3 linked regions of the Struthio camelus genome follow. The protein of the gene in region 1 interacts with the protein of each later gene in a pairwise test. Links are inferred from orthologs where the notes say so. Each region holds a gene or a part of one and is shown in the gene's direction. Other genes may lie near its edges. The genes, in order: KLHL40, TASOR2 and SPMIP4.

The links.
Region 2: the proteins of KLHL40 (region 1) and TASOR2 interact in binary tests that used the Homo sapiens proteins (3 or more experiments, as listed by UniProt). The two-hybrid records come from large-scale screens. The link is inferred for Struthio camelus from reciprocal best matches to the Homo sapiens genes KLHL40 and TASOR2.
Region 3: the proteins of KLHL40 (region 1) and SPMIP4 interact in a two-hybrid assay, tested with the Homo sapiens proteins (2 studies listed by BioGRID and IntAct). The two-hybrid records come from large-scale screens. The link is inferred for Struthio camelus from reciprocal best matches to the Homo sapiens genes KLHL40 and SPMIP4.

The regions. Positions count from the first base shown.
Region 1 is NC_090943.1:4,043,695-4,051,649, forward strand, and holds the start of KLHL40 (kelch-like protein 40), read left to right. Parts: upstream 1-4,934; 5' UTR 4,935-6,102; intron 6,103-7,955. Other genes in the region: HHATL (protein-cysteine N-palmitoyltransferase HHAT-like protein), read left to right, coding at 1,486-1,627, 3,001-3,122. UniProt on the Homo sapiens protein: Substrate-specific adapter of a BCR (BTB-CUL3-RBX1) E3 ubiquitin ligase complex that acts as a key regulator of skeletal muscle development.
Region 2 is NC_090942.1:2,180,973-2,187,984, reverse strand, and holds the start of TASOR2 (protein TASOR 2), read left to right. Parts: upstream 1-3,990; 5' UTR 3,991-4,097; coding exon 4,098-4,140; intron 4,141-7,012.
Region 3 is NC_090943.1:38,164,616-38,171,813, reverse strand, and holds the start of SPMIP4 (sperm-associated microtubule inner protein 4), read left to right. Parts: upstream 1-4,198; 5' UTR 4,199-4,346; intron 4,347-7,198. UniProt on the Homo sapiens protein: Microtubule inner protein (MIP) part of the dynein-decorated doublet microtubules (DMTs) in flagellum axoneme. May serve to reinforce and thus stabilize the microtubule structure in the sperm flagella.

The DNA.
Region 1 (7,955 bases):
ATCCTGCTCTGCAGAGTCCCACAGCCTTTAGCATCCTTGTGATCAGACTGTCAGTTGTGCAAGGGAAGTCCTTGTGCTGTGCACCCCATCGTCTTATGCATGGTGTCACCCACCATGACCCTGTGATGCTTCATAGGAAACAGGCTGGGTGTCGAGCTTTCAAAGAGAAAATAGATGCCCAAGAGAACTAGGACTGCAGCCCAGTGAGGCATCAAAGTAGCATAGATGGACTCAAAGACCAAGGTGTGTTCACAGGAAAATGTTTATGTATTTCCATATGGAAATTAATTTTTTCTTGTTCTGCAAAACATTTTGGCATTGGATATTTTTGGTTTAATTTGTGATAAAAGGAAATGTTCAGATACTACAATTAATTCTTTACCAATCTCTCTGAAGTTTAGTGCCCAGTCTCTGTTTGGGACCAGGGTACCTTGGAGACAGGTTGGAAGAAAAAGTCAGGAGACCCATTCCTAGAAATAATTATATTTTTTGTTTTTCTGCTCAGCCTAAAAAGTCTGGAGGACCTAAGCTGATCCAGTAAAGACAACTTTCGAATAAAAATTTTGAAGAAAAATCCTCCCATTTTTTCTCCTTGTTGAACTTTTAATCAGATTATAGCACTCACAGCTAGTAAAATCTTCTTCCCTGCGGCACCACAATTCTCAGCACTAAGTGGCCTGGGGATTCATGGTGCTCTTTGAAGATTGCTATAAACCACTTCCCTTCTCCGCTCTCAGCAGCTGCTCCTGAGGATTATGTGCTGGTGACAATTCCACTCTGCTGCTGTCACTAGCTTTCAGCTCTTTTTTTTTAATTCGTAAGAAACAGTTTCTACCAGAAGCTTGGAGTGATTTCCACATAGGGCTAATAATAAACCTAGCAAACAGCAGCGTTCATCTGCCTTGAGGGAGGTCTTACCCAAGGCAACAGATGAAGAAAGGAGTTACCAGCCGCTACTATTAGCATGAAACCATGTCTAACAACTTGGCCCTACACATGAGACCTCAAAATGCCAGCCCAGGAGCAGAGCAGAAGTTTTACATTGCCCTTATGCTTCTTGATCCCACAGACACTAAAGGCTGCTCTGATTTATGCCTACCCATCTGGGATCCCTTCTGGAGTTTGGCTGATATGAATCTGTGGTTCAGCACATCTCCTTTCCTTACCCTTTCTCATGAAGTCTGGGGAGGATCTTGGTCACATTCAGCCAGCCCTTGCAGAGCCTGGGGTGCTGGGGAGCACCATGCTGAGGTCTCCAAACAACTCACTGAGGACCTAGCTTGACCTCCTAGGAGCTGCACCATGCAGGAGTTGACTCCATGTGGAGCTGCCGGGGTGTCTCAGGACCTGCAGCTCACCAGATAAGCTATCCAGGGATAGCTGGCTGTGGTTACATAGGCTCTGGGAAAGAAAAACTAAAACCATGTCACCCTTGTAAGAACCAGCCCCGTTTTCCCTAATTCTCTGCTCCTCTCCCCTGAACAGGCCAAAATGTCAGAGGCCATGTCTCGGCGGATTAGGGCAGTCTTTGGGGCAGCAAATTTCTGGGCCATCGTTCTCTACAACATCCTGGCCCTCAACAGCCTGGAATTCGCGCTGCTGGTCACCAAGAGACTCCTCCTGATAGGTAAGGTGCTACTGACCTCCTCAGCGAGGGATCTCATCCTAATGGGAGACACATGGGAGGGGAGCTGGGGCCTGGGGCTTGCCAATTCTCTTGAGTACAGAGTGGCCTGGCCATTGACTTGGTATGTGACCACCCCCAAGCTACCTTAATTTTTGTGGGCAGCACCTTCCCCACCTACAAAATATGCAGAAAGTGGTTTCTTTCCTCCCATCCTTCTCATGCAAGCTCTGTGGGGCACAGATTGCATTCGAGGTGTGTTTGTATAGCTCCTAGGAAGGCAGGGCTCTATGATTAAGACTTTTTGCAGCAATGGAAAAGTTGCTGTCAACCTCCCAAGGTGGGCTGACTCCAGTTCTCCCTGGCTGGGAAATTGTTCCCTTGCTGGAAGAAGGGATTTACTCAGCCTGTCTCATCTCCCTTTGCTTTAGCAGTTATTCCCATGTCAGCCCAAAGATGATAGTTACAAATCTTCCCACCTAACCCATCTACTTCCTAGCATCTGTACTTGATCATCTTCATCATTTAATATAGCAGTTCATGCTAGGCTCCTACTAAACAATCTTGTCTGTACGCTTCTTATCAGTAGGTGGCAACACTATTTTGAAGTCAGTTCAAAGAGTGCAGGGTAAAAATAGCTACCTGGGATCCATGCCCTCCCAGCCATTCTCTGGGCCAGGGGCTGGCATAGGAAACGGATAATGTGACGGTCAGAAGTTCCTGCCAGTTGAGTTAGCTGGCTTTTCCTGGTTGCATTATTCATTCCAGAGGTCCTATTTTAGCAGGTACAAAGTCTGCGTCTCTCCTCTGCTATGGATACCAGACTTATGGTTACAAAAGACATCGGACCCTTCCTAAGTGGAATGAGAGCTCCCTGCCCTTGGGTTGCTTATCTAGGTGACAAATAGGTGTGTTTCCCTGCATGCATACTATGTTCACGTTAGGTGCAGGACGTGGCTCAGGTGAGACCCTCAGCGTCAACTGGGCCCAAAGCTTCCAGAAAGTCGTAACACTGAGCAACAAGGGGTTTTGGCAGGTTGGCTGGCCAGAAGGTCAACCAGACTGAATTTAGGGGGAAGAAGGAGGTTTGTCTGGGGGGAAGGGAACGCTTAAAGCCATTCTAGCATTTTCCAGCTTTGACTGCAGTCCATGGTGTTTTGGTGGACGCAGGTACCGCTTAATCTAAAATCTGCCCCTGGGGATTTCTCTCCTATGTCAGTGACGCTCTAGGGCTGGATCCAGAGTGGAAAATGAGGTTGGCCACTGTGAGCCTGTGAGACCTCCTGAGCCTGCCTGAGGGGAAGCAGTGCTAGAGAAGAACTGGCCCCATTAGGCAAGCAGCCATACCGAGATGACCATGTTCCTCCGTCTTCCAGGTTTCCCTGTCAGCACCTTGTCCATCTGGTTCATCACGTACTGTGGAGTGCAGCTGATCAAAGAGCGTGAGCGTGTCCTGGCCATCGAGGAGGAGAAGCATGACAAAGCAAAGAAAGAGTAAAGAAAAACATCGGTGGGCCTACCCCAAAACCTCAGCTCCCCTCCAACCACCTTTGTCAGGCCAGTCACTGACGGGCTCTCCAAGCACTCCTGGCAGTCAAACTACTGTAGCTCACCCACATGTAAGGCACCTGGAAGGTGCACTTTCTTGCTGCAGTAATGATTTTCTATAAGACATCTGGGGGTGTTATGCAGGCTATCCATGGGTGGCAGACTGCTGAGGTAGGCTCCCGATCCATTTCTTTAAGGCCAAAAAGAGCCATCCTCATCATTTATCTGACCCTCTGACATATTATAGGCCTAGAGATTTCACTCCTTGGTTTCCATAACATCTGGTCCACTAGAGCATTTGGCTCTCTCACAAGACTATGTCTCCCAGAGACTATCCAAGTCCCACTCCTGAAGGTTTTAGGGTGTGCTAGGCATGCAGCTTTGAGAAAGGGATTGGCTAATGCTGAGCCTGCTCTGAGCAGACCCTCTTCAGGTCATTTCCAGCCCAAGCATAACACATTTCTTTCTACAAGAAATAGTCAACATCCACTGTCAAGTGTTCAACATCTATACTGTGTAGTAAGGACTGTAAAATGGCTCAGCACGATATATGCCTACCATGCGGCTAATAAATAAATAAAACAGTCTTTATAGCAAAGGAAAAGAGGGCTAGGAATTGCACACTGAAGAGTAATTATCTCCCCTCCACTGTCAGCCACGCAGAGTGATGTCTGCTACGGTCTCAAACCCTCTGCAGAACTGGTCCCTTCAGTTCTACATGTCTTGAAAAAATGATTTAATGCCGTTCTCATGCCTAATTAATGAAAGCGTGGGAGGCATACCTGCTTCACAGCCAGAGAACGTCAGGTACCAGTCGCCTGTGGAATGAGCACACTGAAGAAGCACAATGCAAGACTCTCACATTACGGCTCGATCCCCAGGCCCTGACTCAGACCCAAAGGGCACTCCACCGAGGGATGTGAGACTGATGTGGCCACCGCTACCGTCTTGCTGTGATTTATGCCCTGGAATTCAAACCCAATCTCATCCCTGTTTTCTCTGTGCCATGGAAGAAGATTTAAGCTTGAATTCTTACCCGTTGCTGAGAAACAGAGGACTTTTTAACCAGCCCTTGCTATCTCCAGCCATCCAGCCCTTTGCTCAGCTGATTTTGGTGAACGCAGCATAAGCCCGTAACTGCACGTCTGAAAGAGCACATACACACATTCAACCAAAGGAGAAAGACCCTGAGTGAAAGACAATGATTTGGAGCTCGGTAGGAGAGGGAAATTGTTTGCTAGCATACTTTGAGAAGTAGACTTTGGGACACTGTATATGGAGTGCATTAAATGTACCCGTTTGAGACACAGTGTCTCATGGGAAAGATAAGTGAAATATCCCTGGGTTTCTTGTAACTTTGGAGTAACATAAGCAGCCTCGTGTCTGAATCATGTCAATGCTTGGTGAGGGCAGGATCTGGACCACTTTGCAACCTGGATGGGGACGCTTGGTGTTGGTGTGTTCTAGTTTCCCTGTGGATAAAACAGGAATTGTTCTTAGCCAGCTTTCAGCTATGCCAAAGTGCTTTATGAAGTCCCTTATATATGTCATTTATTTATGTAGTAAATAAATGTTGGACACCTACAGGGCCTGCTGCCAATCTCTAGCTGCTGTAATGCACTGCCATCCGAGATGAGAGACAGGAGGATCTGTTCGCAGGTCTGCACGTTCCACCTCCAATTTTTACACAAGATAGGATATTGCTGACTTCAATAGAGACACATCTACGTGGCATTTTGCTGCAGCTTGATTTGTATTCACCGTTATTGTGACTCCACTTCCATGCTATTGCAATGCCACTAGCTGACTGCCATCGTGTAGCTTTTGTGGTAGAAGCCGTATTGTTTTTTTTCTTTGGGAGCCTTCCAAAATGTTGGAAGTTAGGGCAGATACTGTGCCTTGGTGGCACCTCTAGTCACATCCCAAAACCCTTTCAGCTGCCATGCACATCCATTTTCAACACAGGCTCTGCTGCTGGACATTAACAAATTTCTTGGTAGCTTCTTGGCCTCCCCATCATCTCAGATTTACCCTGTGCCATCAAAACAGCTAAAACATGATGTGTTTATTCCTAGTGTAAAATTCAGCTCTTCTCCTGAATATGTGTGTCCTTGCACAGCTGAAGACGTGCTGAGCTGCAGCAGACTGAGACCAAGGTCTCTGTGTCTTTTCGTGGCACAGCTCAGGTCTCTGGCTGCCTGGAAGGAGAAACAGAGTCACCGACCTCCTGATGTCAAAGTGAATGACTCACGTGGCAAAGCCCAGTGACTCTGCAGTGCCCTCCTGACTTGGATACTCTCGGAGAGAAAATAATCCATTCACTAAGAATCTAAATTTACCCAGCAGCTGCATCTCCTGGAGCTGCCAGAAGGAGCTAATCTTAGACACCATCTGAGCGAGTAATTTGTTATAGAGCCAGTGCATAGGGGAACTCAGGCTTTCCCCAACTTTGCATGAGGTTAACCCTTTGCCACTGTGCTCGGTTACTGCCACCATTAGAAGCCAAAGGGCCAGTGGCCAAAGTGGTGGTATTGCAGCAGTGTCTCTCACTGCTCAGCCCTGAGAAAGAGACAATCAATCAGCCTCAGCATATGCCTCTGTGGGAAAAGTCTACCCTGATCAAAACCTCCACAAGAGAGAACCATTGCCAGAGGCTCAAAACTGATGATTGCCTCAGATTCCACTGCTATCATCAGAAAGAAAAATGTATCCCCCAGCAAGCAGATGTGGCTGAGGCTCTCCAGCGCAGGGGGGTTCAGCCCAAGCCCCGAGAAATCCTATTGACTTGCCTGTGCATAAACAGAGATTGTAAAATGGCAACAACCAACCAGCGCACGCAAATAAAAACGAGGAATGAAGCAAGAGTAAACACACAAGCGATAAAAGAATGCAATGCCTGAGATGCAGCCTGGAAATGTGTAAGCTAATATGTAAGAAGAAAAAAAAATCCAAACTTCAACTATTTGATGGCTGAGACGATCTGAAGCTTTTGGCTGAGCTGCAACTAAAGCAATGCTAGCTTTTTCCTCCCAGTCCCAGAAGGGTTCACAAGAGGTGCACAATAGCTCCGAGAGCACCCCTAAGGTCTCCCCATTAGCACTATGTGGCTGTGTGAGCCACCCCAGAGCACAGAGTTGCTCAGAGGATTTTGGGTCCACCAGCTTGGCCCTCTGTCCCACCAGGCCATAGCAAAAACTTCCCTGGGGAAGGCCCACCTTTAGCTGAGCTGAATGTGCCTGTGCTCAGGAGCCAGAGAGCTCTCTGTTTCATAGAGGGATGTCTTGGGGTGGTCAGTCTGGGCCATGTGTGCTGGCTACATCGTTCTGATGGCAGGGCTTGGGATGGCTGCAGCTGTATTGAGCCGATATAGTAAAAAATAGTGTTGGCAGGAAACAAAAGGCTGGGGATTACATGTATGAATGTTGCCACAAGCTGTCACTAAGATAGTGTCCCAGTTCTGCTGTGATTAGAAGGCACTGGGAATAGTTAAGATTGTCTAGTCTGAATTCATTATTTAAGATCTCTCTAGAGTGAATGGCGAGACACAGCCGTCACCAGAGTCCTCTCCTCTAAGGCAAGTGTCTAATTCAGGTGTGGTGAATCAGTTCCCAGAGATGCCTGTCTCCCCCTGTGCTCTTAGGGAGCCTAAACTCTACACCCTTCACCCTGAGAGAGCTAAGACTAGGTGGGTGACAACCCACCTTCATTTCTCTGGAGCATTTCAGACTACTAATGGCTGATTTGGGTTCTTTTCTGTCAGGCTCTAGAATGGTCTGGTTTCACTTTACAGAGCCAAATGAAGCCTGGAAGTCCCATCTCTGCCAGTGGCTTCCTATATGGTCCTGGATGAGTCAGCTTCACTCACAGACCACTCAGAAATAGGGCTGTTCTCTGCCTGGATGAGGTTTGGTTTTCCTGCCAAAGCAAGGCACGATGATGAAGGAACTAAAATCCAGCTGCTGATTTCACAGATGATAGCAGACCTCATGCCAAGGTTGTCTACTCCGTGGGGTTTTCCACCTGCCAAAGGATGGAAAGGTTCAATGAGTTCTGCTGCTCCAGAGAAGTCTTCACCAAAGTGAAATTTGGAGGGGAGGGGGAAAGCCCTTTTATAGACAACATAGACCCAAAACAACAGCTCTCAGGCCCTGTTTTCCTGGAAATAGCACTGGTCTCCATAAATCCATTTGTTTCTGAAGTGATGAGTCTTACACGTGCAGGTGGATCAGTGGTTCCCTCCTCACCAGTGAGCTGTTGCTCATGGAGTTGAACCCATAGTCACGTGAGCCCAAGCCAGTCCTCGTTTCCAATCAGCTGGATTGGCCGAAGGCAGATATGTGTCCTAGGCCTTTGTACTTATTCTGGGAGCTGTGACTCAGGATAGGTCTCGCTGCATTTAGTGGTATCACCTTATGATGGGAAATATGAAGAGAGAGCACTCTGGAAAAAGTGGGTTTCTTCCCAAGTTTTGGAGCCAGCCCAGCAGCTGTGTCAAGCCACTGAAGCCGACAGACCCAACAGGGGGTTTGTGGCTAAGGCAGTGCTCTTGCCCTAGGTGGGACACGAACCTGGGAGAAGCCACAGACCCACCCATAGGTTGGGATCTTCTCTGGAAAAGGATCAGCTGCAGCTGCATTTTAGCAGCAGCACCTCGTGATATGGGGAATGCAATAGCAAGCCTCGGAGGGCAGCACACACTGATCAGCACAGAGAAAAGGAAAAAGCGCCAGGGCTCAAGGGAGATTACAGGCAGAGGAGAAAAATCCCAAACAATAGCAAGACC
Region 2 (7,012 bases), on another chromosome or scaffold:
ACAGGTCTTGGGCCAGTCCATGTTTGCAGGTTGTGTTTGTGCACCTCACATAGCTGCTGGGGATCCTAATACTCCCCCACACAAAGTCAGTAATGGTCTCAAACTTAATTATTTGCTTTATCTTCCCTGTTTTTAAGCCTGATGACTGTAGCTTTCAAGAACTATTGTGTCCACCTCCTTATTTACTCATTTCATTGCAACTGTTTTCTTAGAATGACTGACAGCAAAATATATATATATACTGACAGCAATATATATATATATATACTGACAGCAATATATATATAAAAATATATATATACTGACTGCATATATCATTCATTTTTTTCCAAATAAAAGATAATAAAAGGAAATAGATCTTCAAATGACTGCTTCTTTATTTTAGACTTGTAGGTATGCCAGAAGTTCATGAGTCACTCTTTCAAAGCCAAAATAGAGAACTGCCAGGAACTAGGCCCACACCAAAGTCAGGTCATAGGCTCTCCTCCTATGCAGACTGCACATGTCTACCTGCCCAAAAAGGCATGAAAAACCAAACAGCAATATAGAAACTCCAGTCAGAATGGGTGTCTGACCCCCAGAAACTCCAGTCGTTACTCTCTTCCTCTCCTCCCTACCCCCCAAAAATAGACAACAAAATTCCCTTAAATCCCTTATGCTTTTGTAATAGTTGAAAATGGAAACAAATCACTGAGAAAGAATCTGTCACGAGAAATCCAAATTTTCCTTATCAGAAGTAATTCTTTATGCTAAGATAACTCGTGTTTCATTGCTGCAGTGCCTGAAAACGGTCACACTTGTGATGGACACGCATGCAGTCTGACTGCGGCTCTACTTTTCGTTACAACTGCCGCAGAAGTTCGGCGTCCTCCTTACGCCTCCCAGCACGAGGCACGCAGTTACACAGGGCTGTTCATCTTATACCCTCGCAGGGCAACCGGGAACACTGACCTTGGGAAGATATTTCCGTCTCATTTCACCCGAATATGAAGGCATTGGAACAACATGGAGGGCCTTTTTTTCACGTTCCAGGGCAGGCTACGTTTAGGACGAGCACCACCAGCGAGAACTCCAGCCTTTGATACGTCAGGCGGATCTAGGAGGACAAACACGGGATACGCTGCTGAGCGGTCAGAGCGAGCGATTGCTACCAGCTCTGCCAGTGCCAGGCCCTATAGCACTAGACAAATCACTTGCTCTTCCTCATGCCTTGGCTTTTTCACCGTGGGAACAGCGCTTTCTGCTCTGCTGCTGTGATGTTTAATTATAGCAAGAGGTTAGGAGCTCCCGGGTGAAAGTATCATTAATGGCATGTTACTGGCCTGCAGCATTGCCTTGAGTAATAAGTGACTTATAAGTGAGCTGTCACATTTTCACTTCATTTCTCTTTCTCCTTTTTTCCTTCATTTGCTAGTCCTTCCTACTAAGGCTATGACTGCCCCAGCTTGTGAAAATATACCCGAGCACAGAGACGCCCAAGCTGGCCGTGCAGAAGCCACTGAGGATCAGGAAGCAGCATCAGCATACATTTATCAGCTCAGCTATGTCACTGCGCAGTGCGTCCACAACGTGCGGACACAGCGCTCTCCGAGCGTGACATGCCAGCACAGGGATCTCTGCCCCAGGCTCTCATTGCGGCCCATGCACGCCACGAGCTCGGGGCCATCTCCACAGCCTGGTCGCAGGTGGCTCACGTCTCCTCCTGTCAGCAGCAACGGGGAAAAGCAAAGTCTTTTTAACGCATCAAGCTCCTACCCTTGGAAATCGGCCAAACGATCAGCCACGGCTCGTTGCTTTGTGCCTACAGTACCTAAAACGCTGGGTGGTCTCCTTTCCTAGCACCCGCCAGGGCTGCTGTCCAGCATGGCTGTAGGCCCACTTCTGCAACGCAAACATTAAGGCACTATTAGGCACGCTGTGTTCACACAAAGCCTTGTGTAACCTCGATTGCCCTCTACCATGTCCCATCATCTATTGCAACATGGAGCAGCAGCAGCGTGTCCCCGCACCTCACATGCCCACTAACAGCCACCTCCCCTCGACAGCCACCTTCAGGCACAACGGGGACCAAGGCAGCCACGTCGGAGAAATGAGAGTGCTCTGCTCAGCAGACAGCCACAGAGGAGCCAAAATCATCAGGCAACTAATTACCACAGGGGAAGGGGGAGCGAGGAGAAAGCCCAAAGGCCTGGTTCTGTCCTACAGTTTATTCACAGCTACTCAAGTGACCAGTTGTCTCCCTGCCAGGCTGATAAAGAGATTCCAGGTGGTGGAGGGAAACTGGATTATTTATCTACTTTCTCTGCTTAAACGTTCATTTGCCGCTCCACCTCGTTCTTGCAGCCAATCTGCCCCCAGGCCCTACACTGCAATCCTTTCGATGCATTCCCTAGGAGGCAGGAACAAAACGCCGAGAGACACCAATATCTGGAGGGAGACCTTGGAGGGAGACCGGCCACCTTTCAACACCCTGGGGCAAGTCCTCACCAGAAGGGTGATGGAGCTACCCCCTGCCATGGGGGTACCCCCAGAGCTCCCGGGGACACCACAGAGCAGGGCCAGGAGCCACCGTGCGAGAGGGCTCCTGGGGGCACTCCAAGGCCCCAGTGGGGTGGACAAGTGGTGGGGGCTCCTCAAGGGCTTGGCCAAAGGGAGTGATGGGGCTGAGGGAAGGCCCCAGGGAAGGGGCCGAGGGGTTGAGGGAAGGGGCAAAGAAAGGAACCAAGGGGATGAGGGAGGAGGCTGAAGGAAGGGGTCAAAAGGCCAAAGGATGGTGCTGAGAGAAGGAGCTGAGGAGATGAAGAAAGGGACAGAAGGGATGGAGGATGGTGCTGAGGGAAGGGGCTGAGGGGAGGAAGGACAGCGCTGAGGGGAGGAAGGATGGTGCTGAGGGAAGGGGCCGAGGGGATGGAGGACGGTGCTGAGGGAAGGGGCCGAGGGGATGGAGGACGGTGCTGAGGGAAGGGGCCGAGGGGATGGAGGACGGTGCTGAGGGAAGGAAGGACAGTGCTGAGGGAAGGGGCCGAGGGGAGGAAGGACGGCACTGAGGGGAGGAAGGACGGCGCTGAGGGAAGGGGCCGAGGGGAGGAAGGACGGTGCTGAGGGAAGGGGCCGAGGGGATGGAGGACGGTGCTGAGGGAAGGAAGGACAGTGCTGAGGGAAGGGGCCGAGGGGAGGAAGGACGGCGCTGAAGGAAGGAAGGACGGCGCTGAGGGAAGGGGCCGAGGGGATGGAGGACGGCGCTGAGGGGAAGAAGGACGGCGCTGAGGGAAGGGGCCGAGGGGAGGAAGGACGGTGCTGAGGGAAGGGGCCGAGGGGAGGAAGGACGGCACTGAGGGGAGGAAGGACGGCGCTGAGGGAAGGGGCCGAGGGGAGGAAGGACGGCACTGAGGGGAGGAAGGACGGCGCTGAGGGAAGGGGCCGAGGGGAGGAAGGACGGTGCTGAGGGAAGGGGCCGAGGGGAGGAAGGACGGCGCTGAGGGAAGGGGCCGAGGGGAGGAAGGACGGTGCTGAGGGAAGGGGCCGAGGGGATGGAGGACGGTGCTGAGGGAAGGGGCCGAGGGGATGGAGGACGGCGCTGAGGGGAGGAAGGACGGCGCTGAGGGAAGGGGCCGAGGGGAGGAAGGACGGCGCTGAGGGAAGGGGCCGAGGGGAGGAAGGACGGCGCTGAGGGACGGCGCTGAGGGGAAGAAGGACGCCGCCGAGGGGCCGCGGGCGCCATGCTGGCGGCGGCAGCGGCGACCTTGCGGGAAGAGGAAAACGGCGGGCGCGGCCGGACTCTCTTTCCGGTTCAGTTTTCACTTTCTGTTTTTTTTTTTTTTTTTTATTTTGGAGAGAGGGGGGGCGGACTTTTTTATTTTTTCCCCCCTTCCCCCCGCCACCCACGCACCGTCACCCACCTCCCTCCCTCTCCCTCCCTTCCTCCTCCTCCTCCTCCCCCCCTCCTCGGCCCCTCCGCGCCTCCCTGTCACTTCCTGCGGCCGGCGGATGGCGGCGGCCCCGCGTGCCGCCCCGCGCCGCCTCAGCTCGCCCGCTCCGCCACCACCGCCACCGGGGCCGGGCGGGTTGAGGCAGCCACCAGGCAGCGGAGCGGAGCCATGGGCGAGCGGCGGGACGGGGCGGCCGCCGGCGGCGGGACGGGTGAGCGGCGGCGCGGTGCGGTGGAGGCGGCGGTTGAGGGTGGGGGGGGGGAGCTCGGTGCCCGCAGGCAGGTGGCCTGAAGGAGAAGCGAGGAGGGGCAAAATAATCGTGTTTCCACCCGGGTTTCAGCTCAGTTCGCCTTCCTCATCCTTCCCCCCCCCAAAAAAAAACAAAACAAAACAAAACAAACCTGCCCCCACCTAGGGTTGGTGGAGGAGCCGGGCTGGCTGAGGTAAAAGGATGAATTTGGCCAGGATCCGGCAGACGAGGCGCGCGAGCAGTACACGAAAATAGTGATCGAGCCAAATTAAAAAAAAAAAAAATTTTTTTTTTTTTTAACTAAGGAAACCCACCCGGCCCCGCTCAGCTGGTGGTTTTGGCGCTGGGGTTCGGGCCGAGGCGTCAACGGGCTGTTTTTTTTTCGGGGGTCCGGCGCCGGCGGCGGTCTCGGGGTCGCCACGCTCGCCGGCGCCGCGAGAGCCCGCTGACGGGCGGGGAAGGCGGACGCGGGTCTCCTCGCGTCGCCAGCTGGTCTTTGGTGGCGTCCAGGAGTTTCCAGAAGCGTTAAACGCGACTCGAGCGCCCCGGAGTTGCTGTTTTTCCCCTAGGAAAGTCGGTGTGTCGGAAAATCCGCCGCCTTTAGGAGAAGAGGGGGTCTCGGGCCACCGATGAGACCACCTGGCCCCCGAAATTAGTCTTTCAGCGCTAGTTTGGTCTGTTTTTGGTGTTCCCGGTGAACTCAGCCCAAGCACGTCTGTCGGTGGCAGAGCTGGCTTCGGCGTGTCCATCCCGAACGCTCCCAGTCCTCCCAGACGTCAACATCCCGCCAGGCTTTGAGCCGTGTGGGCGCAACTCGTCGTGGAGCTGCGCAGCAGATTGCTGAACTTATCTGGATTAAAAATAGCCTCTTCTACGTGATATATATATATATATATATTTTTTTTTCCTGCTGCGGTTTGCTGGTGTTGCTCATTCTGCCCCAACTGTGGCAGCAGGGGAAGAGGACGAGCGTCGGGGCAAGGGCTTGCGTAGGTTAGCGCAGCCGTCAAGAGAAGCGTTTACGGGATTACAGCTTTGGTGCAACGGCGCCAGCATTGTCGCATGAAATAGGTATACCGGTACTGCTCGGTTGAAACGCCGCGACTGATCGTGAGCGCCAAATTTGAGAGAAGAAAGTGAAACGTCCGTCTTTTGTGGCACGTGCTGTTTTGGCACCGTTCTGCTCTGTTTTTGATGGTGAAAGAGTTACCCTCCAGTCTTGGTGGGATGTTCAGAGTTCGTGGGCGTGCGGGGGTATTTCAGTATTTCGTGGCTTCAGTTCCATTTTTACTGGAAACGCTAAGCGCGTCTTGGTGCTATTGGTAATTTCCGTAGCCAGAGGGTCCATACAGCAGCTTCACTGCTCTATCAAGCAGAACAAGAAACTAGAGTCAACGCTAAAATGGGAGCATCTATAGCGAGAGCAAAAGTAATGCCGCAAAACGAACCTAAGGAACGTTTTGAAGGTTGTCAGGCTTGCTCAAAAGCAAGAGGAGTAAGTAACTGATCTGGATGAGTATAGCTGCTGTTTTTCAGCTCGTTTCAGGTAGAATAACAGTACGCCTAGTTTCTCCAGGCACAGACAATTTTTTTCTTTTCCCAACTGGAAAATACGTGGGAGGGCTCAGCGTTGAGAAGGTTGTTTTTAACACGTGAAATGTTGCTGTTGCTCTGACAAGGCTGCTTGTGTTCTAGGAAATCTTAGACATTGCAGCAGTGCATGTGCAGTCAGCTTTACACTGCGTGCGCTTTAGATCCAGGACTTCCCTGGCATCGATTTATGGGGTCGGCACAGCACTGCGGGACTGGGGTCCTGGGAAATAGCAGGTAAACTCCAGCTTACGTGGCAGATTTTAGGTGCAGTGTGGTGGATTCCTATGTGTGGGTTTCAACTTAGAGTCTGTGGGCTGCATTTAAGGCATCTGTGAAATGTAACCTAAGAAAGGCAAACTTGTTGTTAGTGAGTATTTCGTTTTAGAGCTGGAGCGCTCTCTCCTGCAAGGTCAAAACACGGAAAGCCTGACTGTCTCAGTCCATCACGGCTTGTGTGCTAGCACACAGAATCGTTTGGCTGACTTGTTCTGCAAAGAAAGAGGCATCTTTAATTGTCTGAGCGCTAGAAGATCTGGAATGGTGCTAGATTTGGGAAGAGTCAACGCAGACCCCTGCGTTAAGTGAATCCACATCAAGCAGATTGTACACTGATAGAAGAGGGGAGCCATGGCAGGTCAGAGCAAATACATTTAGGGCAAGTGCTTTGAAGAGCATCTGCTGAGATGAAAGGTAGCAACAACTGCTTGTGCAATGAGTTAACAAAGGAAAACTTGCAATAATCAAATCTGCAATTACATGAGCAGCTGAAGACAGCAGGAGGGAGGTGATAAAATCACAGAAGTGTTGGTTGGAAGGGTCCTCTGGAGGACTCCTGCTCCAAGGAGATTTTCACCAACACCAGGCTAGTTTTGTCCAGCCAAGGATGGAGACCCCCACCTCTCTGTGGCCTGTCCCAAGGCTGCATGACCCTCCTGGGGAAAAATTTCTCCCTGATGTCCAGTCTGAACCTCCCAAGGTGCAGCTTGTGGTGTTTCCCCTTGTTTTACCACCTGCCACTGCCAGGAAGAGCGGCTCCATCGTCTTTGTGACTCCCCTTCAAGGAGTTGTGGGCTGCAGTTAGACCTCCCCAGCCCCTTCTTCCCCAGACCAAACAGCCCCGCTTGCTTGATCTCTCCTTAAACATGTCTCACACACTGAATGGTTGTGTTGGGACTGCTTTCTTTGGGTAGGGTTGTAGCCGAAAGGTGATCTAAATAAATACTGTCAGTCGCTAATGCTG
Region 3 (7,198 bases), about 34 Mb from region 1:
TTTTCATGACTACACATGTGGATACTATGAAGTGACTAGCCAGAAGTTTGGTCGCACAGTCATAGAAAAGTGTGATGAAAATGATCAAAGTTGCAGAAAGAGCTACGTAGACTAGTACTTCTCAGGTAGAGGAAGAACTAACCAACAGGAGGAATAATAAAGACCTATAAAATCAGGACTGGTACAGAAAAGATGGATAGAAAATGATTATTCATGATTTCTAGCAACACAAGAACTAGGGGTATCAAAAGTAAGTACGAGTGAGAAGCTTTAACCTAAACTAAAGGAAGTCCTTTTTCATACAAAACACTAATGACGGAGCTCATTGCCATGGAATGCTGTGGAGATCATACATAAAACTCAGTTTAGAAAACAGCTGCACAAATTCCTGAAAGAAAAAGTTATTAAATACAACCACGCAGATGCAATCCCTACTTCAGAGAGTCTCTAAGCCACAGACTGCCAGAAGTTGAAAAGGCAGCCTGGAGAAATAACATTCAGGACAGGAAACCTGTTGTTATATTCTTCCAATACCTGCTACTGGCTTCTGCCACAAATAGGATACTTGTCTGAAAGGAACTTTTCTGAGCCAGAAAGGCCTTTCTCGTGTTTAGAGGCAGCTCTCAGACTGAGCTTTCACTTGAGCTGGAAATCCAAATTATCAATAACGTATTCAGTTCTAATGCAATCAGCCATACTTTTTGACAGGCTCTGAGCTTAAACCAGCAAAGTTATAAATTGGTGGCTTGAGAGTTGTAGAAGAGTCGTATGCTAGGATTGATACAGTCATGCTGTCACTACTGGGATCATTCAATGACTTGCTTTGCTTTACTTTCCATAACATTTTGGGGATTACCAGAAACATACAGAAAGTGAGAAGTGGGAAATCACAAAGATATCAGCTTTTGATCTTTGTTTCTTCCCACTGTAGAGCAAAAGACATAGTATTTTTTATTATCAGAATGGAGTATTTAGAATCAAATCTCTCCAGGACCATTTGTGACAGATTCTCTTCTGCTCAAGTTTTCTCTCTCCTGAGAGATGAAATTCCTCTGATTTGACTTGGTTCAGGAGGCACTGTTCCCATAGTTCAATTGTATCTTCACATCAGCAGTCTGGTCTCACACTTAGGTGTATGTAATATACAGCTGTGGCATCACCTATCAAAATCTCAGCCTTCGTTTCCTGCAGGAAAATCAAGAAAGGCTGCAAGCGTTGTCTAAAACTTCAGAATGTTTATACGATGGCTGTTACAGACCACATTCCTCTGACCAGATCTGGAAAGATATCTGATTAAAATGTTGGTGGTATCAGCAGAAGAAACAGATTTGTCTTATGGTTGTCATCCCAATTTATCCACTTAGAGCCCAAGAGCTGACTGCTAGAAGAAATACTCCAGATATGTCTTCAGAAAAGTAATGTGTACGTTTGTAGGCTGCAATTGTACTGATACTGTAAGAAAAGCACACACCTATAACAGCTTTCAAAAATCAGAAGATATTAAATGCTACTGAGGTTCAGCCCATCCCTTTATCCTGTGACCTATCGATATGCATAAAGTAAAAGGAAAATTAGAAGAAATTATTCCCATTGCCTACTAGTCTAAAAAAAGGAGACAGGTGATTAAGACAGATACAGGTAAAGAAAATCACATACAAGAAAGTTTATTTTGCTATATCCCAGATTTTGAGAGGCACTCAAGCATTGCTTTGCTTCACACAGCAACACCTCAGCAGATAAAGAACATCATCCTTTATTTCTTTTAAGGCATCGCTTTCAACAGAAGGTAGGACCAGATGCTCTCCAGAGGTCCTGTCCAACCCACATTTCTCTATGATTCTATAATTCTTCAAGCTTGGGAAATGCAGAGCTAAGGCAAAACTGTTATTTTGCAAAGGAGCCTTTATCTCTATTTCATGACCTTCTTTTATTAACTTTAATCCTGAGTCCTACAGCATAGGTAGGTCACTGGCCACAGCAGAATGTTTCCTAGTCAACAGCAGGAATGGTGCCAACAGGTAGAGGCATTTAACTGTTCCTGTCTTCTGGAACTTGCTGACCACTTAGCTCTCTTTCCCTATTTTGTCATATTTAGGGCACTTTGTTCTGGTTTTGAAGCTTCTGCAAAAGACATTTATCTCATCTCTGAAACCTGTAACAATTGACTTCTTATCAGTTATCATGTTCACTGCTCTGAGTATGACATCCAGCCACTTTGCCTCTTGCAACGCATTGAAAATGATTGGTACAGGCCAGAAAACAAAAACAACACGGTTCACAAACAGAAGTAGTTGAAAGCAACATGTACATCAGAAACCTCCCTCTTTCACTTGTCTGGGAATTCCTACATTTCAGACAGACTTAGAAGGCTGACCTTAAGTATAGGCTAGAGAGAGACAATAACCAGATGAGGAGTTTTCAATCCTTTCAGCTACAGCTTCACATTCTACCTATAGCAAAATACTTATCCCCTTTTTTTTCCCTCACATATATTTAATACCTCAGCCATAATGAATGAAGAAATGGTTAAATATTAGAAATGGGAGCTAAATTTCACACTCTGCATATTGCACAGATGCACAGACACGCACAGTGCAATACATGTATCGTATGGGCGCATTAAGTTACCATGTTTGATTTTGGAAATACTACATTTGTGCATATACGGGTAACAAATAATAGAAGAGTAGTACTTCAAAAACAGAAGTAACTATTAGCCACATTCTAGTTTTGAGAGTAAAACACAAGGAGAAAGCCAGACAGTTGCTCAGGCAAATGCAATATATAGTTTAAATCTCATGCTTCCATACTGCAAGAGTTTTTTTAAGGCTAATGAAGGGAAAAGCAGACATGGAAAAGAAGAAGGGAATTCCTGGGTCCTTCTGCTTCTGCGCATGTGTCTAGGGGAAGAACACACCTGCAGCCACTCAGCCGAGAAGCCTAAAGAGAGCCATTGAGAGACACTGAAACAAATCATACACAAGATGAGGCTAATTAACTGAAGGGAAAGAAAGAAGAAAGTTGTGCATACATGAGTGGAGAATTGGTGAGGACATAACAGTACCAGTCAAGTGACATTTTAAAGAATGACAGCAAAGAGACATTTCTCAAAACCCTGCTTGTATTTTGACCCTTACTTCCCAAAGCCGCCCTGCCTCAAGGAGAACACATTACATCGCTTTTCATCACATCTCTTAGATTCAAAGTATACAAAGGTTATCTTCTATCTCAGAAGAACTTTATACTAAATACTCCAGTTGAAAACAAATAGATTTAAAATTTGTGGAGAAGCTGAACAGAGCCAGTAAGGTCTGATGAGCTCCATGTGTTTTCATTCCCAGTAGGGCTCAGCTGGCCCCTTTGCATGAATTTGTGAGGGAGAACAGAGATGAACTTTTTAAAATCAGCTTCTCTGTGAGCTGCTCAATTCTCTGGGTACACATTATACATCTGTACCTCAAGGCAATAAAAGTATTTAGAATTAACTGTATTATATGATTAATATGAAGAATTCTATTTGTAAGAGAACTGAGGCAAACTTTCTCTGAACCCTGCTGTTGAAGAGAACAAATAAAAGCATGTGTCGGAGGTGTTGAACTCATTTTTGAGTGCAGCTAGTTTTTTAACCAACTATCTACTTGTCCTTTGTTGTCCATCATCAATTCTGAGAGCTGCAAATTTGCCCTCTCTGAAGAGACATTTCAAACGAAATGGGGCATCCTAATTCAGCTGCTGATTTCCATTGGCAGCTAGGAAAGAAAAAGTACCAGTTTAATTTTGATGCCTATGAAGGAATTAAATACCAGTGAGGGTACCTGTAACGTTGTTATACTGGGATCACATACGGCTTATGAAGTCTTGAAATAGCGAAGTGGGAACACAGGTGATTCTGAACTGCTCTTGATCTAGAAATGTCACTTTTGTGCGAAAAGAGCAGGGGAGTGGAAAATAGCAGACAGTTGTCAGAATACACTTCCTGCCCTGGTTCAGCCAACACCATATGCTTCTCGAAGTTCCATATTTCAAGACATTTCCTAACAGATAAATACTTGTACAGATTTATATTGCATATGAATCTATGAATCCCCAGGGGCAGCCTGGAGGATTGCAGAGTCCACCCCCACCTGAACTTTACAACTAGCAATAAATTCTTTCTGGGTGTTATTTACCTCCTGTGCTAAGTGCAGATGGTGCACATGTTGGGGCTGGCACAGCAGAGCAGCACAGGCTGTGCCTGTGCAGTAGCTCTCAGTGCAGATTTTCCTAGTTACCCCAGAAGTCACAGAGATGAGGACACGGTAGCTTGGTCTGACTGTGAAAAGGGGCACACAGGAGAAAGTTTGAAGGTACTGTACAAAATAATGACTTTTTTTCTGTTTTCCAACATATAACAGAAAAATATTCCCATCTTGTTAGTATTATCTTGAGAATGAATCTGTGCTATTCTTATTTTGTATAATACCGTTCTCTGAAATAGCCATGACGTTATATGCATGCGTATACGTCTGCTACAAAATTTCCTGTTCAGATCCCCACCAGCTAAGAAGTATCAGCGCTCCCACCGAGTATGTACATATACATATTCTGTCTCTGTATACTTGATCTTCAGAAAAGATGATGAGCAGTGCCAATTCACTTTGGCCTTAACTAAAACTGTACAACCCTCCATAATCTTGCATTTGATGGCATTATTCCCTTAAACAGTGACTTTAAAATACAAATTGGCATTATCATCTGATCCTGTCCTCACTCTAGGATAAATATAAAGTAATTCCACTCAATTTAATGTATTTATTGATTGATTTACATGACATGGAAACTTTGAGAGTGATTTTTATTAATAAATTAAAGAATCACTGAAGTGAATCTGCTGTGTGCAATTACACAATCTCTTTTATGAGAACAGGCCAAAAGTGAGGCACAGACCCTTGAACTAAAATTACTTTAATGGCTAGAAAAGAAGTACCTCTTTCTTCTAACATGCAAGTCGCATTTTCACATTCTGCGTTATATGGTAAAACTAAGAAAATGGTATATAATTATTTTCACAATCTAGATGGTCAAACGCTGTACTCAAAAGAAAGATAGACATCAAAACAATGTACACAGAAAAAGTGGCTTGGGGATATATATTTTTATGATTTTTTTTTCCCTAAAGCAAAAAGAAGACGTTTGTGATTACTGAAATACAATGCAAGTTACTTGAAATTCAAATAACCTGCAAAACTGCAAAACTGGTATGTGGCCACGAGAGGGCAGAAATAACATTCATTTTATAACCCCGTTTCTGTGGGAGAATAACATATTCCTTCAAAGAAAGTGTGTTTTAGATTGCCATAAGACGCTACCGAAGCAGTTAGGAAAACACAAACTATACGGTGAGCTTCACAAAGGCTACCTCGTGATCATTCAATGTTAACAATGGCTGGTAATACTGAACTTTCAATTTTTAAATATATAAACCATTCCTAGAACAAGTAAACTAACAAAAAAAGAAAAAACTGTAATGGCAATTGATTTAAAGCCTGAAAAGAGCATTTCTTGAAGTGTGTATTCAGCAGGCTATCAATGTTTTCTATCTTTTGTCTTTTAGCATTGGCAAAAGGATAGCAATGTGTATCATTTCTCATTTCAATAAACAGTTTGCTTTGGCTCTTTCTGGATCTGAATGCATCTGTAGCTCTCGCCACATAACAGCTATCAAAATCAGTGAGAAGTCTGGAGAACAACACCTCTGTCCTCTTTGTCCAAATGCTCACATTCTTCTGTTTTCACTACCACAATTAGGAGAAAACGAGAATTAAAGAAATGACTTTTCTCCCTACTTAGCCGAGTTGGCCTCAGCTCTTCTCCCTCCACTGTCCTTTAGGTAACAGAAATACAACTTTAATCAGTCAGAAATGAACTTTCTGTTTTCTGTTTCCGCTGGCTAAATTACGTTATGTCACTTGCGGCGTTTCCAGTTTCAGTGTGGAGAGATACTGGTTTAATAACTGTCTCTGCAACCTGAATCTTCTCTGCATTAGGTAACGGGAGGTTTGAAACAGCTCTGATTTGAGATCATACATCAGCCACAGTCAAACATGGATGACTGTTTTATCTGCCTATCAGAGCCATAAAGTAACTTTATTCCCTGGGAGCTGAATATGATTATGGCAGATTATGCATCCAATTCAAACAGCGGCTTGTTGCAAGGCTCTTTCTTCCCATTGCCCCAGCACCGCCTCAGCAAGCACACTGTTATGCCAGAGCTTTCATTTCGCTCCAGAGCTTTCATTTTGCTTATCCTACATTTTCCTTTTCCCTCTTTTCACATAACTCACTTAAGTAGATAACTTAGTAAAGATGTCAGGCTTGTAATTATCATTTTTAGGATTGGGTTGAGGTCAATTTTTCTTAGGTCTCCTGTACAGCCTGGGAGGAATTCTCAAAAGAACATTTGCCTCTTAATGCCACCTCATTTTTGCTTTTGCCTTCTGACTTCCGCAGTGTTTTAGAACTAAAACTGGTTGTGACAAGCTCATTCTCTGCATTCTGTGTACCAGACAAAGTCCTTTCAGGTTAAATTGATGGAGTCAGGGCCACAGGAGTGTTCTATTCACAGTCCTTGGAAATCATCAAAATATCCACCTTTCCCTAACTTCTTTGTCACATCAGCAAAGACAGTCACTGTAGCCACCCTGCTAAGGGAGCAATACAAAGAGATATCAGGGACTTTTGTTCACTAGTTCTGATCCCTAAAGGGACTCACTAACACCTGGAGACACAGCTGAGCGATGATCATATACCAGAGATGCATCCAACTTCTTGGCAAGCAGTGGTAGATCTACATGTGGGAACCCTCTTCTGTGTGAGGGTTTGGAGGGTACAAGTGATCACCTGAGACTTTTTCTCCCAGTTAGCTCACCTCTATAATAACAAATAATGCAGGTCAGTCTCGTACTGTCTTAAAACTTCAACTCTTTACCTTCCATGGTCTTTTTTTGGAAGGAAATAACAGAGGTTTTCAAAACCTGAATAATAAGTGAATGAAGGAAAAGATTCTGCTGAGCCTTGCTATATATTCATCTCTAGACTAAGATGAACCGTGGGAAAAAAACAAAGAAACAATGTTTTCATGGAACATATTTAATCTGTGAACTCCAGGGTTATTGATTGAGCTATAGCACTTGTACATGGCACAAACATTAAAGGGCAG